Linked DNA regions of Ovis aries. The protein of the gene in region 1 purifies or fractionates together with the protein of each later gene. This does not show direct contact. Links are inferred from orthologs where the notes say so. Each region holds a gene or a part of one and is shown in the gene's direction. Other genes may lie near its edges.

Evidence for each region.
Region 2: the proteins of STAU2 (region 1) and EIF2AK2 purify together in Homo sapiens (affinity purification with mass spectrometry; 3 studies listed by BioGRID and IntAct, with this or other methods). This does not show direct contact. The link is inferred for Ovis aries from reciprocal best matches to the Homo sapiens genes STAU2 and EIF2AK2.

The regions. Positions count from the first base shown.
Region 1 is NC_056062.1:49,920,329-49,929,597, reverse strand, and holds part of STAU2 (double-stranded RNA-binding protein Staufen homolog 2), read left to right. Parts: intron 1-2,648; coding exon 2,649-2,808; intron 2,809-4,040; coding exon 4,041-4,148; intron 4,149-6,182; coding exon 6,183-6,395; intron 6,396-9,269. UniProt on the Homo sapiens protein: RNA-binding protein required for the microtubule-dependent transport of neuronal RNA from the cell body to the dendrite.
Region 2 is NC_056056.1:86,934,886-86,944,154, forward strand, and holds part of EIF2AK2 (interferon-induced, double-stranded RNA-activated protein kinase), read left to right. Parts: intron 1-1,646; coding exon 1,647-1,763; intron 1,764-3,840; coding exon 3,841-4,036; intron 4,037-6,851; coding exon 6,852-6,980; intron 6,981-8,441; coding exon 8,442-8,546; intron 8,547-9,269.

The DNA.
Region 1 (9,269 bases):
GGATATTCTGCTTGCTTGGTTTTCCTCCTATCACTCCCTCCCACAGAGTTCTCACTGTCTTGTGGCTTTAAATTTCACATATATATATATTGTGGAGAAGGCAATGGCAACCCGCTCCAGTGTTCTTGCCTGGAGAATCCCAGGGACGGGGGAGCCTGGTGGGCTGCCGTCTATGGGGTCGCACAGAGTCGGATATGACTAAAGCGACTTAGCAGCAGTAGCATGTATATATTGATGATTCCCAAATTTTCTCTCCACCTTGGACCTCTTTCCTGAAATCCAGACTTACTAGATCTGACTGTCTGTTTAACATCTTCATTTGGATGTCTAAAAGACTGAATAACTCAACATCTCCAAACCAGAGCTGCTGGTATTCATCCCCAACAAACCCATTCTTTTTGCGGTTTTTACCAGCTTGGCACTCCATCTTCCAGTTTTTCATGTCAGAAACTCTGGCGTCTTCCTCGACTCCTCTCTCATATTCCATACCCAGTGCTTCGGTAAACCCATCTTCTCTACTTCTGAAATTTGTCCAGAATCCAAGTGCTTGCCATTACTTCCCTTGCTGTCACCCTAGTTCAGGCCCCTGTATTATTGCAGTAGTTCTTTACAGATATCCTGTGTCTGCCATTGTTCCTCTACAGTCTGTTTTCAACATCGCAGATGATCTTTCCAAGGTCTAAGTCGATTATGTCACTTCTCTCCTTAAAGCCTTCTGGTGGCTGGCCATTTCACTCAGGGTAGAAGTCAGATCCTCGCAGTGATTTCTAAGGAACGCCCTATGACATCTGAGCACCAGTTCCAGCTCTTAGCCTACCTTCCTTTACACCCTCAACTCTCACCTGGTGGGAATCCTCTGAATTGCTTCAACATTCCTGATGCTCGGCTGCCTCAGAGCCTTTGCACTTGGTGTTTTCAGTCCTTATAAGCCCTGTTCTGGATATCTGTATGGTTTCCTTCTTCACTTGCTCGAGCTCTTCAAAATTGTCACCTTCTCAGTGAGACACTCACTGATCACTCTATCTGCCCCTCTTTTCCTCACCCCTCAGCCCAATCAAGGGAAGAAGAAACAACAAGAATTTCATATTTTACTTTTATTGGGACTCCAGGCAACAAATATGAATGACTTCAAAAGAGTAGTTGGCAAAAAAGGAGGAAGCCGCCAAAGGTACAAACGACACCAGAAGACCATATTGCAATCAGATCTACAGCTCTTGGATAATTGCTTGATTCTCCCCAGAGACTTTCACTATTTCATTCACTGCCATTACCAGTGAATGAATTAAATCACTGCTTTTGTTCAGATGGTGTCACTTGTGTTTTTATTGTAATCTTAATATATGCAATTTTTTAAAAATTCACTTTTGAACCTTCCCTTCTTTTTCTGTTTAAAATGTATATGGAACTTCTGTGATGATCCACTGGCTAAGACTCCATTCTCCCAATGCAGGGAGCCCAACTTCCATCTCTGGTCAGGGAACTAGATCTGTGTGCCTCAACTAAGAGCTGGCACAGCCAACTAAATAAATATTAAAAAACAATGTGTATTTCTAACATCCCTAGATATTCTACCTATTTATTTTATTTATTGTCTGTCTTCTCCACTGTAAGGTATGTTTTTGTTTGCTGTAATATTCCCTCATCATAAGAAGGTGCCCATAAATAATTGTTAAATTAATAGATTATATTGCATAGCCTCTTAATTTCTTTTGTTTGTACTCTCTTCTTACAACCCCCTTACAATCTCCCCTCATGTTGGCATCATTGCAGCTTTCTAATTATGCTTCCTCTCAGTCCCATTAAACACAAACCTGCTAAAAGTTTTCACTTTAAATACATTTTATTATGGTTCGTTCTGCTTTACAATTGGCTGAAACTCCCCATTCTTTCTTATGTTGAATCTGCTCTCCTTAGTACTTTGCAAAGTACTTACTACTTTACAGTAGTGGTTCCATCTGTCTGCCCTTCCCATGTCTAATCGTGGTTACCTTCTGCTGAGAGCATGGCAGTCTGCATATTGTCACCTGGATGGTTTCGCCTGTTTTCTTGCCTCTGTGGCAGGTCCCCATCTTTCAGCCCCAGACCATTGGCTCACTTCCGTCAAAATATAACTGAAAATGTGTTGCCAGGAGGTCTTCTGTGATACAATGAAATAATTTTTACAGTATTAAGTTGTGTTTAATGTTTTCCAAAATACATTTTTCATGGAGACCAGATATATGCTTTATTATCGATATATATGCCGACTCACATTTTATCTTTTATAAATACATTTGTGAGGTAAAACTTTACTGAGGTTACTAGGAGGTTATAATGGATCTGGGCTTCCCAGGTGGCACTGGTGGTAAAAAACCCACCTGCCAGTGCAGGGGACATAAGAGACTTGGGCCTGATCCCTGGGAAGCTCCCCTGGAGGAGAGCATGGAAACTCACTTCAGTGTTCTTGCCTGGAGAATCCCCATGGATAGAGGAGCCTGGCGTGCTACAGTCCATGGGGTCACAAAAGTCGGACATGACTGGAGTGCCTTAGCACACATGCACATAGTGGATTATACCTTCCTATTTACATTTTAAACAAAACAAATTTTACTAATGATTACAGTGATTTTTATTGAACTTATATTAACATTTTCATTTTCTTACTTTAGGTATCATTGCCCAGTGCCCAAGATCTTTTACGTTCAGCTGACTGTAGGAAATAATGAATTTTTTGGGGAAGGGAAGACTCGACAAGCCGCTAGACACAATGCCGCGATGAAAGCCCTTCAAGCACTGCAGAATGAACCTATTCCAGAAAAATCAGCTCAGGTGGGTCCCTGCAGTGTGTGGCAGTCTATCTCTAATAGCTGCCCAGGGAGATTACTGAGAAGACAAAGAAGCGCTTCTTTACGAATAGAGGAAGTCTCTGCTGGTAGAAGGGAACACTGGATTGGCTGTGGTGGCACCTCAGCTCACCTGTGTGCTCGGTTAGACTCTGTGTCTTGTTGGGATGGCCTTGCCTTCGAGCACTTTGGCTCAGCCTAGGGAGTCCACTTCCCAGGCAAGGCAGGATTTGGGAATGTGAGCAAGGATGAGAAATAACATTCGTTTACTTTGCATTGAGTGCTGTGTTTTATTGAGCATGAGTTACATTGTGTTAATTCACCTAGAATCAAGGAGTTTAAAGTGGAGGAGATATTTATGGATTTTTTTAGTCCTACTTTATTTTACCAGTGAGGTTATTCGAAGCAGATATACAGTAACTTCACTCATTCCCATGGTTTCAGCTGCTTTCTCTGTTGACTTCAAAATGGTGTCTTTAGTTCAGGAGTGTCTAATAAGTCCCCTTCTTATTGAGTTCTCCACTTCGTTATTTGAAGCTAGGTCCAGCCTTTAGTTTGCCCTTCCTCAAGCCTGTTGTCCCTCCCGCTTTGAGATTTATCTTAGTTAATGGCAGACTTAGTATTTTTGTCCTTGTGCACTCTCATCATGACTCTTAACGTTTGCTTCGCAGTCTTTCCACTAAGTGCTAAGCTTCTTGACAGCAAGAATACTGTCTCTTGATCTCTCTAAGGCTTACCTGGTGTTCAGCATGTATAAGGCTCCAGAAGTAAGTGTTAAATAGGTCAGAGCCAGACGCAGAGCTCCAGCATTCTGGTTTGCACCCTATACTCTTTCTGCAACTTAGTCTTCATAGAAGATTAAATATCACATGCTGGTGGAGATACTGTGTGTGTGTGTGTGTGTGAGAGAGAGAGAGAGAGAGATGGAGGTCTGTAAAGAAAACTAAGTCTGGGGATATCTACATCAGATTAGTGTTTATTTGAGTAAAAGGTTTCCACACTCAGCATTTATCCTTCTACTCTGAGGGAAAAAACTTAAAACCAAATCACAAGAAGCCTCTCAGCAAAGCCCTTGACTGCGGTGGTCCCATGGAAATCCACAGGATCCAGTCTGGTTTCCTGTGATGTGTAAGATAGGTTCTCTTGATTGTTTAGTACATGTAAAGCTTGTTACAAAGTGAAGATTCAGTGTTGTCCTATTTTTTTTTTGTGATTTAGAATTGCGAATCAGGAAAAGAAATGGATGATGACAAAGATGCAAATAAGTCTGAGATCAGCTTAGTGTTTGAAATTGCTCTGAAGAGAAATATGCCCGTCAGTTTTGAGGTATGTATTCAGCAGAGATCTCCCATTTTTTTTCCCTCCTTGCTCCTCATTGTTTTAAACAAACAAACAAAACAAATCTGACAAATAAAATTTTAGCATCCTGAAAGAATCAATGTGCTCCCTCTGTTTGAGCTATCATGGAATGATGCAGGCCCTAAGAAATCAGAGCTTGCAATATCATGGAGTCCTCCCAATCTCTTTGGCTTTTCTGTATTCAGCCATTTGTTTCATCATAAAATTTATTTTCCAAATTTAAGATAATTTATAGTCACCTATAAGATTTGGCATTTTGATAAGGTCACATTGAAAATATTCAATATATAATTAACATTTAGTCACATGTATATATTAATATTTAATTTCTTTTAAATTTATGGAGGCCAAAATAGAAATTTTACCTTTTAACTTTACATTTAACCATTACTGATAAGTCACTAAGACATAATTAAGCAGTTCTCTAGTTTAAAACTGGATAAATATGTCATAAAATATTTGTAAAATTATGTGGCATTTAAAAAAGAAATAATACTAAATTGTTATAACACCTCCTTTATTAAGAGGTCACTAATTTTGCAACTCAAGTATTTAGGAAATAGGCAAAACCCAGGAATAAGCTGAAACAATTGAGGAATATTTTCCCTCAAATTATGTTTTGTTCACCTATTGGAAAACTCATGCTTTACTCACTGGCAGGATCTACTCACCTCAACTGAGAGCCTGTTTTCTTTCTTAAACATAATTCTGTTACAAGTTGTGTTGTTACCTGATTTCTCAGCCCATAGCAGATTAAAGGCAGCAGAATGAAGAAGGCAGGAAGAGAATGTACCTGAGGGCCTATTGGTCCCAGCGAGAAATGATAGGGAAAATATGGAAAACCTATCAAAAGTAACTGCATTTAACTTGAAAGTCTTTGGAAGATGGGGCCTTTTAAATGCTAGGCGAACAGGAACAGTTTTAAAAGTTAGATGTCCTTAGAGGCCTTAGATGTCCTTAGTGTAGAATATTTCATGTTCATAATGGTGATCTAATGTGAGCAGTAAGAGGCTGAATATTTAGTCAGTAAAATATATATGTATATTTTTTGAGAAAGATGTCTATCAAAGTGGTTAAACAGTTTTGGCGTTTCAATCTGTAAGCTTAAATTACTTGGAAAGTAAGCTTATCATAAATTAGTTTATCCTCAATAATACTGGATTATTGAGATACTGTATCTTTTCTTCATTGGTATCCAGTATTAGAAGATAAAATTTTAATATAATAGTCAATGGTAAACTGTTTAAATAGGGTATTTTTTTAATAGGTCAGGCTTTGACAGACACAATGAAGTTTTGAGCACTCAGGTCTTGGAAGGCATTTTGCTTCCCAAAATTGGCATAGTTTAAAAAGAGCTTGTTAAATACAGGATTTAGGAGCATTCATAGCTGACAGATTCATAATCCATTACTCTAGAAAGCGAGGTATTTTTATGGCAAATTTACTTACCTATTTAAGACCATGTCACAGAGAGTAAATATTCCTTATTGTAAGACAGCCTTTGAGGTCTCCATCAAAAATAGATGATTTTTCATCTATCACCTGTTTGTGAGAGGCTTCCACATGGAAGATGCTTCATAATTTATAGAACTCCAGTGAGACATACTTCTTGTACTCCAGTAACTTATTCACACAGAGGAGAAAGTTAGATATGTATGCAGTAATGGTATGTTTTATTATCTTTTATTATCCTTATTTTCTGTCCCATAAGAAACAGGGTAACCATAATTAGAATTGCCTTTTTTAAGCTAGTAAAACACAGTTTTGACCATGACTTAATATGTTTATTTAGATTTCTGTTTTTTCCAATGTAATTCATTAAGCATCATAAGTATGAGTCTCTGTATAATGAGTTCATAATAGTTTTATAGAAGAAATCCATAATTTTGGCATAATTCTTAATAATTTCAATTTTGATTTTTATATGATCATTAAGAAAGATTCATGCCATAAAAACCCATCTTAAGTCCCTGTATTGAATCTTTTACTTATATTTAATAGGTTATTAAAGAAAGTGGACCACCACACATGAAAAGCTTTGTGACCCGTGTGTCAGTGGGAGAGTTCTCCGCTGAAGGAGAGGGAAATAGCAAAAAACTCTCCAAGAAGCGCGCTGCAACCACTGTGCTACAGGAGCTTAAGAAACTTCCACCTCTGCCTGTGGTTGAAAAGCCAAAACTATTTTTTAAAAAACGCCCTAAAACAATAGTAAAGGTAAGTGTATGCTTGTGAATGTTATACTATATATATATAATATATATATTTATTATAGTGCATGCATGCTAAGTCGCTTCAGTTGTATCCAACTCTTTGCAACCCTATGGACCATAGCCCACCAGGCTCCTTGGTCCATGGGATTCTCCAGGCAAGAATACCGGAGTGGATTGCCATACTCTCCTCCAGGGGATCTTCCCCTGGTAACTCTAGTTAATGTTTTTCCGTAGGACAGGCTCCTAAGCCTGTGAGTTATAAGCAGAATCCGGGTCGGACATGTGTCTGTAAGTGAATAGTAATTCTGTTTTGCTTTTAGACACTTGTATACTTGGGTTCATTCATGAAATAATAATACCTTGCATATTTATAGTTTTTTATGTTTAAAAAATACTTTCTCAGTCATGAACACCTTTGGTAAAATTCTTATCATGATGAATGTACATGTTGCCCCTCATTTTACAAATAAGGTTTTATGAAACACGTTCAAAGAATTTGCTTGCTTGTGTTCACCGATCACGTGTGGCACCCTGAGCTACTGATCCATAATCCAGCGTTCTTTGTGCAGTCCACACTGCTGTGTGGTAACGTCCCAAGATTTTAGGCCGTGGTGATAGGACGCAGAGTGATAATTGCATGAGTAACACTCACGCTAATGACAGCAGCCGCGGCAGCAGACCGCAAGTATAAAGCACTTGGTGTGCCAGACGGGGCTCCAGTGCTTCATGTGCTGAATCACATTTAATCCACATAGCAGCCCTCGGGCTTCCCTGTTAGCGCAGTCGGTAAAGAATCCTGCAGTGCAGGAGACCTGGTTTGATTTCAGGGTTGGGAAGATGCCCTGGAGGAGGGCATGGCAACCCACTCCAGTGTTCTTGTCTGGAGAATCCCCATGGACAGAGGAGCCTGGCGGGCCACAGTCCATAGGGTCGCAGAGTTGGAGACGACTGAGAGACTGAGCACACCTCGGAGGTCATGGGATGGCCTGGTTTCTGTCCTCTCAGGCATGAGTGCCTTTTCAGAGAAGAATGTAGAGCCACACGGCTTTTCAGGATGTTGTGATTCTCTTTTATGGAATCAGATTTTGGGTACATTAATCAAAAAAAAATTAAGGCATAGTTCAGAGGAATGAGATGAATAATAATTGAACTTACATCACAAGATTGTTACATGTTACTCAAGATGATACATAGAATGCATTAGTTATTATTATTAAATATGTATTAACAGTACGAATAGTAAGTACTCAATAAATATTTGTTGCTTGTTTAGTTGGTAAGCTATGTCTGACTCTTTGTGACCCCATGGACTGTAGCTTGCCAGACTCCTCTGTCCATGGGATTTCCTGGGCAAGAATACTAGAGTGAGTTGCCATTTCCTCCTCCAGGCCACCTTCCCAACCTAGGGATTGAACCCACGACTCCTGCTTGGCAGGTGGATTCTTTACTACAGAGCCACCTGGGAAACCCATTCAATAAATACTAGCTTTTGTTATTTTGTATCTCATTCTGTCCACATTTTATATGTAGATGAATGTCTCCATGGTCTGTTTTCCTAAATTCTTTTGTATATAAAATCTACATACAGCTTCTCCATAGTGGAAGAACAGTGCTCTACATTACTGCAAAACTATTCACATTAACTTGCACCTAATCTATTAAACTAAATCTAATCTCAAATTAAGAATAACCAGCCTTTAGTCTAAAAAAAGATCTATCATTTTTATAGTAGACTATAAATATAACTCCGGTTACTTTTAACTATAGCCATTAAAAGCAAGAATATTGTTGAAATGTTATTTCTGAAAGAGCGGAGAAACATTTTGAACTTTAAAAATGATTTTTTGCTACTACCTCTATTATATATGCATTTTTAAAAAATTTTTATTTTTACTTTATTTTTCTTTACAATACTGTATTGGTTTTGCCATACATTGACATGAATCCACCACTGGTGTACATGCATTCCCAAACATGAACCCCCCTCCCACCTTCCTCCCCATAACATCTCTCTGGGTCATCCCCGTGCACCAGCCCCAAGCATCCTGTATCCTGCATCGGACATAGACTGGCGATTTGTTTCTTACATGATCGTATACATGTTTCAATGCCATTCTCCCAAATCATCCCACCCTCTCCCTCTCCCGCAGAACTTTCTTCTTGTCCACCATTCAGATCTCAGCTTACACTCAACTTCCTCAGGGAAGCCTTCTCTGGTTCTCCCTGACTCCCACATTCGTTTCAGTTCAGTTCAGTCACTCAGTTGTGTCTGACTCTTTGCAACCCCATGAATCGCAGCACGCCAGGCCTCCCTGTCCATCACCAACTCCCGGAGTTCACTCAGACTCACGTCCATCGAGTCAGTGATGCCATCCAGCCATCTCATCCTCTGTCATCCCCTTTTCCTCCTGCCCCCAATCCCTCCCAGCATCAGAGTCTTTTCCAATGAGTCAACTCTTCGCATGAGGTGGCGAAAGTACTGGAGTTTCAGCTTTAGCATCATTCCTTCCAGAGAACACCCACATTCATTTAGGCCCCTGCATTTTTCCTCACATACATCACACTTGGAATTACTTGTATCATATCTGTCTTATGTTAAAGTCTATAGATATTCTCTGAAATGTAAGGTTATTTTGAGAAAGCAACATGGATACAGTGAGTTGAAATCTAGGTTAATTTTGAGTATGATCAGACCTTATAATGGGCCAGTAAGTGGATCACCTTAGATAGTATCTTGGTTTTCACTGTTTTAGTCACTTCCTTAAATCTTTTACATCTAGGTTCTACCATTCCTTATAATGCAATAGAAACAGAAGATGTATCTGTTGATGATTTACCTTGATTTTATTTAGAATAAGGAAGCTATCACGTTGTCTCA
Region 2 (9,269 bases), on another chromosome or scaffold:
TAACAATGTCATTTATAACAGTGAGAAATTAGAGCAAACAGAATGTTCAGCAATAAAGGAATGATTTAGTATGTTTTGTGCTCTCCTCTGATCAATGACTGTTTTGCGGTCATTAAAAGTGAGGGTTGTATACTGTAAATATTTATACACACTGTGAATGGTACAATGCTAGAAGTTGCTTCGGAATAATCCAGGGAAAGATGAGGAAGTAGGTAAGAGTATACAGGAAATAAGACTGGCCAGGAGTTAATTACTGTTTCATCTGATGGCCAGTTAGGGGTTCATTCTACTATTTGCTCTACTTTTTAATACTTTTGAAATTTTACATTAAAATGTTTATACATGATGGTTAGGCAGATTGTATAGTAATAGGGAAAAATTTAAAGATAATATATGAGAAAATATTAGATAAATATATACACTATAATTATACATATGTAAATATGTATATGAAGAAAGACTATAAGAAATCACCTAAACTCAAGTGTGTTAGGATTGTGTTAATATATGAGTAATTTTTTATCTATTTTTACAAATTTTACATCATATAGAACTTTTCAGATTCAAAAAGTAAGTTGCAAAATGTTTGCTTATCCTTTCTTATCCTTGAAATCTCAAATTTATGTACTCCACTTAGCATCAGTTCAGTTCAGTCGCTCAGTCGTGTCCAACTCTTTGTGACCCCATGAATCGCAGCACGCCATGCCTCCCTGTCCATCACCAACTCCCGGAGTTCACTCAGACTCACGTCCATTGGGTCCGTGATGCCATCCAGCCATCTCATCCTCTGTCGTCCCCTTCTCCTCCTGCCCCCAATCCCTCCCAGCATCAAAGTCTTTTCCAATGAGTCAACTCTTCGCATGAGGTGGTCAGAGTATTGGAGTTTCAGCTTTAGCATCATTCCTTCCAAAGAAATCCTAGGGTTGATCTCCTTCAGAATGGACTGGTTGGATCTCCTTGCAGTCCAATGGACTCTCAAGAGTCTTCTCCAACACCACAGTTCAAAAGCATCAATTCTTCGGCGCTCAGCCTTCTTCACAGTCCAACTCTCACATCCATACACGACCACTGGGAAAACCATAGCTTTGACTAGCATAGGACTGTCATAATTCTTACGTATGCATCCCTGCAAAGCTCCCACATTGTGCAGTGAAATTTCAGTTTCTCTGCCTAGATCACCCTCTGTGTGTATTTTTGCCACGCACTGAAAATTTTGAATTAGGTTCTTCATGCTGCTTGGATTACCTACCCCTGCTGCCCAAATGTGGTTTGCTTTTGAAATCCAAAGTGATTTTAACACAACTCTACATAAAACATAATGGGTGATTTTTATTTTAGATCCAAAAAAATTTTACATCACTGATAGCTCACAAGAGTACTACCTATGACTTCTAGATTGTCTGAGGTTTGAAATAATTTTAATCACTGTTTTTTTTTTCTTATGTTGAGAGTGAAAACAGCTGATTTTTTTCTGTGTTCCCTCTTTCCTTTTGAGAGGTGCTGGCTTCCATTCTAAACCTCAGTGTGGGAACCGTGGTAGCTGTTTAATAAGGGTATATTGGTGATTGCCTCCTATTGCTCAAGGTGTTTTGTTATTATCAGGGATGGATACTGACGCCTTTATGTTCCCTGTTTCTTTTAACTAGGAAGGTAGAGCGTGAAGTGAAAGTTTTGGCAAAACTTAATCATCCAAATATTGTTCACTACCACAGTTGCTGGGACGGGGTTGATTATGATCCTGAGGAAAGCTTAAATTCTTCAAGGTAACTAAAAATAAACTCTCATAGTCTTAATAGGAGGAGCGAAACTTGTTTACTGTGTGTGGGTCAGTGGATAAGGCCACTAATTGTTACATTTAATAATCATAACCAGAAACTCTGAGACACTGTCATGCCTCCATTCTGCAAATGAGGAGACAATGAATAATCTTTTCTTTGCTGCAGATTTGCTTTAAAAAATATGTGTTTTTTTTTTTTTAAAAAACTGTCCTCTGTGGCTTCCCTGGTGAGTCAGATGGCAGAGAATCTGCCTGCAGTGTGGGGGACCTGCGTTTGATCCCTGGGTTGGGAAGATCCCCTAAAGAAGCAAATGGCAACCCACTCCAGTAAATTCTTGCCTGGAGAATTTCACTGACAGAGGAACCTCGTGGACTACAGTCCATGGGGGTTGCAAAGAGTCACACAACTGAGTGACTAACACTTTCTGTGGTTTTTGAAATCTCAGGCTTAGGTTTCTTGACTCTGAAGTTTAAAGTACAGACTTTCTCACGTGCCCTGACTCCAGTCCAGGTGGTAAATGCAGTCTTGTGAAGAAGGTTTGCACGTGTAGACGGTGCACCTGGAGGCCGCCCTCCCCCCACTGCTAACGCTCTTCTGCTCCGCTCAGCTGGTTGGCAGGGTGCAGTCATGGGATCCCTTCTGTGTGTGATCACACCACTCATGGTGAGGTGATGGGCAGTCTAAATAATTCCAAGACCCTGAGCGGTGGTGGGGGTACCCCCCGGCCCTTGCATTACTCATGTTTGTCTCTGGCAAGCCACTGCAAAAGGACTGAAGGGTTATAAAGAGCCTCCCTTTGAAAGTTACCCAGTGTTCCTTGGAGACAGTTCTTTCAGTGCAAACCTGAGGTCGTGGTGAGCCTGTTCATTCACCATCTCCTGGCTCCAGCCCTGTCTCCACACCATGTAATTTAGAACTGTATCATTAGTTTCAGAAGTACCATCTGCATATGGATTTCTTCAGCTTTTAGAAAATTCCTGGCTACCTTTTTTTATTTTCTAGCCAACATATGCTCAAAGAATTTAAATTAATATTAAAGCCAACTTAGTTCAGAAAAGAACAACTACCATGATTAGCGAAATCGGTCCTCCTTGCTGTGTGCTGTGTGCTTACTCGGTCAGTCATATCCAACTCTTTGTGACCCCATGGACTGTAGCCCACCAGGCTCCTCTGTTCGTGGGATTTTCCAGACAAGCAAACTGGAGTGGGTTGCCATTTCCTACTCCACAGGATTTTGCCAACCCAGGCATCAAACTCACGTCTCTTGAGTCTCCTGCACTGGCAGGCAGATGCTTTGTCACTAGCGCCACCCGGGAAGCCCTGCCTCATTGCTATGCCTCATAACAACTTTTGGCATTTCTCTTAGAGCTCCTGTCCATGCACTACTGCAGCAGCCCCTAACCTTTTTGGTGCCAGGGACTGGTTTCATGGAAGACAATTTTTCCATGGGCCAGGGAGAGGGGATGGTTTGGGGATGATTCAAGCATATTACATTTTTTGTGTTATTTCTGTTATTATTATATAACCTCCACTTCAGATCATCAGGCATTAGATCCCAGGGGTTGGGGCCTGCTGTACTATTGTTTTCTGCTTGTTTTTCCTTTATCTCTCTCCCATCAAACTATAATCCTCATGAGAGCAAGGCTAGTGTCTAACTCATTTTCTTATCTGTAGGTGCCTGTTCCGTGTCTTTTGCAAAATAGATGCTCAGTAGAGCAATGGTGAATTAAAATGTTTCAAAATTACAATATATAATAATGAAATTTGGTTTTCTGCAATTCCGTCATATTTTTGTGTCCCTTCCTATCTATTAGCAAAGATAGTCAAGGACCTTCAGCGTTAAAGAATGGGAAGGCTGCTACTTTACAACTTAGCTAAACAATGCTTTGATATTTGGGAACTTATGACCTAAATAAAGAGTGGTTTATTATGTATTGACTCACATTTGTTATATTTAGATTTCTGTTTTGAGACGTTTGGCATTTTTAAGAAGGTGTCATTTTTTAAATCTAATGTTTAAGTGTATTTTTTAATAAATTTATTTTTATTGCTACTTCTACAGTGAATTTTATCCCAGATCAAAGACTAAGTGCCTTTTCATCCAAATGGAATATTGTGATAAAGGTACATTGGCGGAATGGATTGACGAAAGAAGAGGCAAGGATCCAGACAAACGTTTGGCTTTGGAATTCTTTCAACAAATAACAATAGGAGTGCATTATATACATTCAGAACAGTTAATTCACAGAGACCTTAAGGTGAGTGGAAAATGTGCTGTATTGGGAATTGATCAATAGAGTTTATTAATGTGAAAGTCTGTCTTCTTTAATTTTAGAATTGATCGACAGTCATGAGGAAATAACATCTCTGATCCTGTAAAGTTAGAGTGGATATAGCACTTGCCCCAGGTACCAATCTGTAGAATCAATCAGGAGGTTGCCAGGGCTGTAAACTTACTGAGACGCTGTGCTCTGCAAGAAGCAGCTCATTGCCCATTCACTTCTGGTCCTGTTTGTCTTCCTGGCTGATACCTTCACCCCGGTTGTAAACACTAACAGCGTTAGTATGCTGGACATTTCTGTGCACATAATTCTCATGCCTGGAACATCCAGTTGAGTGTTCTGTCTCTGCCTCTCCTGCTTCCCAGGCTTGTCTGAGAGGCAGAAGAGACTCTGGTGACTCTGGCTTTGGATACACAAATCTCTTAACCTTTTAAGTCATTATTCTTGACAGCAGTCACAGCCACTAAGTCCAGAGTCTAGAATTTGCTTGGCACTTGGTGAGACCTCTCTGCCCCATGATTGGAAAACTGCAGCAATGCAAACCTTGGAACATGCAGTATACTTTTGTATTTTCATTTTCTTCTGGCTTCCCAGTTTCTTTCACGGTCTAGATGAGCAGTTTTCCCACTTCCTCCTCAAAATCAGACAGAAGAGCTTTTCAGTCTTCCCTCGGCACTCTGCTCTGTTCCCTGTGATTTGGGTACAGTCATCGAAAACCTCCCATGCTGAATCCTATCACCAAAACTTTGCTCATGTGCTCACATGAGACACTCTTCTACCTGTCCCCTTTGGTCTTAATTTCTTTATGAGCTTTTCCTGGTCCTTCTGGATCAGACAGAAGCACCTTGTCTATATGGACCTTGGGCTTATCCCACATGTCTAAAACAGCCAGGAAGGAGACACAAAGAAAAATGTTCCTTGAGAAAAATAAGCAGCCATGTGCATAGTTGTTTGTTGGCCTTGGTAGGAAAAGATGGCCCTTAAGAGGTATTGCATCCTTGGTCTTCTCAGGGGCTGGATGTCTGATGCCTTCATATTGGGGTGCCTCTGGTTCCAATATCTCATTTTGCTAATAACAGTATCTGAAGGTATTCTTTGAAGTTGGAAGGATATACGGACTCCGTTCAAAAGAATACATTTAGAATGGCTGTACCTTCACTTTGAAATGAATCATATAGAGTTAAATAAGAAATTAAGCACAATTATCTCTTTATACAATCATTTGCAAATAAATGATCTACTTACACAGTCATCTCCTCTACTCAGAGGTTTGGGTATTTCCTCCCAGGCCCTCATCAGGATGAGTTAATGAAAGTGCGTAGCGCTCCCTCCTCCCACCACGTGGTCCACCAGTTCCCTCCTGTATCTGCCCTGCTTGTGCCTCTTGTCAGGGAGTCATCTTTTCTGGGGTCTGTAGAGAGTGTTTGCTCTTTGTCTGCAGGTGCTCAAAGGTCAGACTTTAATACTACAGAGGCTTCTTTCATCTTTTTTAACTTGCTAACTTCACTGATACAGTTACTGCTTTTTCACATCTAAGAGAAAATGTAAACAAAAGTGTGTGTGTTATTTTGTGATGCTTTGCAGAATACCTGCTGCTGGTGGCTTTGCCAGATAATGGTCTTTACTCAATAAAGCCCCTGTTCTATAAAGTCAGCCAGCATTTACCTTAAGAACTAGACCAAAGATGCTGGTGAGAGACACAAAGGTTTCTGGAGAGAGGGCTTATAGGCTGAGGAGGTTCAATTTCTCAATTGCCCCAGGCTCCTCGGTCAACTTATTCTTGTGCCTCCTGGATAAAGTTTGTACCCCTTTTTTTGCCACACCTTGTGGGATCTTCATTCCATGACCAGGGATCAAACCTGGGCCCCCTGCAGTGGAAGCGCAGAGTCCTCATCAACAACCTTCCTGGTTTCATGGTCTTTAGAATATTAGTCAATACCTTCTACAAAGTTGTGGAATTGTCATTCTTTTCTTCCTTTTTTTTTTTTTCATTGTGCTTAAAGAATTATGTGGAAAAATATATTTCAGTGCTAGGCATCAGCTTCCAGTTAACTTGGTAGCCTTCAAAGACAGAGGGGCTGTGTTTGTTCAGAAGTCAGAAGCCTAGGGAAATGAATATAAAGGAAGCTTCCAGGGAAAATTCTGCACATGGTGTTCTGCAGCATTACTGGGAATGGCCTCATTCTCAGAATCTCAGAATTGCAGAGGATCTTGAGGGTGTCTCCTTCAATCCCTTTCAAATGCTGGACTTGTGTTTGCAGTGTTTCCACCAAGTGGGTGTCCAGCCCTGTCTTGAATACCTTGTAGGATGGGGAACTCTAACTCCCATCTGTTGGACCACATGGTTACTATCTTCAGTTCAGTCGCTCAGTCGTGTCAGACTCTTTGTGACCCCATGAATTGCAGCACGCCAGGCCTCCCTGTCCATCATCAACTCCTGGAGTTCACCCAAACCCACGTCGTATCAGGATATATTAAAAGCAAGTCTTGAGGTCGTTTCCATCCTCTAGTCCTGGATCTACCCCACAGGGACCAGGCAGGAGTGAATCCATCTTTGACTTCAGCTACCTGGAGGCAGCTATGCCCCAAGCTTTCTCTGCTGTCGGCTAAAATGTCCTGACTTCCTCAGCTAGCATTTTAAAGACTGATATTAATAAGTTTCCTGTTTTGGGCTACCTAGGAGAGGGTAAATGCCTTACAAGTAAATTTTATAATAGCTGTTATGAAGTATGAATTGGATATGTGATAAAAGTCTGTCAAATTAGTACTTATAACATATTTTTTTCGGCAGCCAAGTAACATATTTTTAGTAGCTGCGAACCACATCAAGATTGGAGACTTTGGACTTGTCACATACCTGAAAAATGATGAAATGCGGACAAGTAAAAAGGGAACTTTACGGTACATGAGCCCAGAACAGGTGAGGGCCCCTTTCTTTCTGTCAGATACTTTTTGCCTCTTTCATTTTTTTAATTATAAAAATAACAGGTACTCATAAAATTAAAACAATCCATAAGCAAATAGAATGAAAATGGGAAAATTACTATTACTCTTCCTTTTTATTCCTACTCTTCTCACCAGAGTTGATAGTTTATCCTTTTAGGTCATTTTCTTTGAGTTATAAAAAATATATAGATGCATATATTTATGGAGACTTTTTTACATAAAAATAATAAATACATTTTATAAGGCTACTAAAAGTGATTCTGTGCCTTAATTTTTTTTTTTTACTCAACAGTGTATCATAACCTTCCCATATTTGTACGAATAGATCTGACACATTGGTTTTAACAACGGTATTGTGTGCCAAAATGCAGATATACTGCAGTCATTCAACTATTTCCTGACTGATGGGAATTTATCTAGGCCGTTTTCAGCCTTTTACATTTGGAGACAGGTTATGTGTCTTCTTCCTTACCTTTGAGTCTAAAAACAAATATTTCTATGAGGATCAATGATAGAGTCTTTGAAGTGAGATTGTTGACTAGAATGACAGGTGTGTTTCATAAAAACGTAGGGTGTTTTCAAGGTGTGTAAGTAGAAGTCAGTAGGGCTGGGACAGCTTCCTTTCACCTCCTGCTCTCTCCTGCATCCAGTGTGGTCACATTTTATTGAGGAAAGATTTATACACCATAAAATTCACAGAGCTTAAATGTCTCTCTCTATTTTTTTTAGTTCTGACAAAGGCATAGGTTCATGAAGCCTGCAAGCCTCTGAGAAGGTAGAACAGTTTCCTCACCTTTAGACCCATTTCCAGTCAGTCCTTCCTCTCCACTGCCCGGAGGAAACCAGTTCTCTGATTTCTGTCCCCATAGATTACTTTCCCCTGATCTTGAGCTTCATATGAATGGGATCACATTGTATGTACTCTTCTATGTTTGATTATTCCACTCAAAGTAATGTCTGTTGAAGAACCTCTAGTTGTTGCTTTTAAATGACAGCAGATTATTCCTTTGTGTGGCTACTATTCCATTGTATGAATACACCACGGTTTGTTCATCCATTCTCCTGTTAATGGACACTTGGGTTGCTTCCACTTGTGGAATATTATGAATGAATCTGTGATAAACATTTGCATGCAGGCGATTTACTGGGCGCTTCACCTAGTGGTCTCATTAAACTCCACAGTCAAACTCTGAGGTTCAGACTATTGCTATCTCCATTTTAGGGGTTAGATTATTCCCACACTGATGGCTAGTGTATACAGGTGATTCAGCTGTTTAGTGACAGAGATTTGAACCTGGGAAGTCAGGGCCTACATATCTTGCTAATAAATGTACCTTGTTGTGTGTTATAAGGCATTTTGGTTAGATAATTTTTTGGCTTTAGAAGGCATGAATATTTATATCAGGTGAGTCACAAATATAAATTTTTTTTTCAGCTTGATTCTGTGAAAGACTATGGAAACGAAGTGGACATCTATGCTTTGGGGCTGATTCTTGCAGAACTTCTTCATATATGTCCCACTTTTTATGAAACAGGGAAGGTAAATACAATGTTACAGAAAGAATTAAGCAACAAAAATGATTGACCATCATATTCAAAGTACTGGTGCAGTTATTGACCTCACATGAGGATGGACTGGAGCATGTTAGTGTTGACTGCAAATTAAATACGAATTTTTATCTCTTTCAAGTTTGGGCAACCAATACTTTTTCTTGAAGACCAAACCTTTGGTCTTCTTTGGAAGGTGTGTGCATCTCTGTAAAATTGTATCGATGGCTTGCTTTGCATAAGACTCTGTGCTGAGCTCTCCAAGGGTTATGAAAATGAGGAAGGCTTGTTCTCAAGGAGCTTATGTGTTATAAGGAAAGGTAACATAAGAGAATGCTATGAATGTTTTAGGAGAAGGCATGAAGTCTAATGGAAATAGCTAGGAGGGGGGGCTTCGCCAGCTGCAGGGATTTAGGCTTCGTGGAGGTGTTTAAATTGGGCTCTGAAGGATTGGTTGGCTTCCAGTACTCCAATTTAGAGAGAAGGTGATCCTAGCATGGAAAAGGATTGGGAAGAATATATTTGGGAATAGTTGGCAGTGTCATTTGTATGGGAGTGTATAAGTCAAGAAGTGGTTGATGGTCAGTGGTACTGGAAAGATACACTGGGATGAAATTAAAGCAAGAATATGGATTTCTTATGAAGACAGTGGGGTGGCCACTGCAGGCAGCTGGATATCCTAGTCTGAAGGTCAGTAAGAGGGACTTGTCTGGAG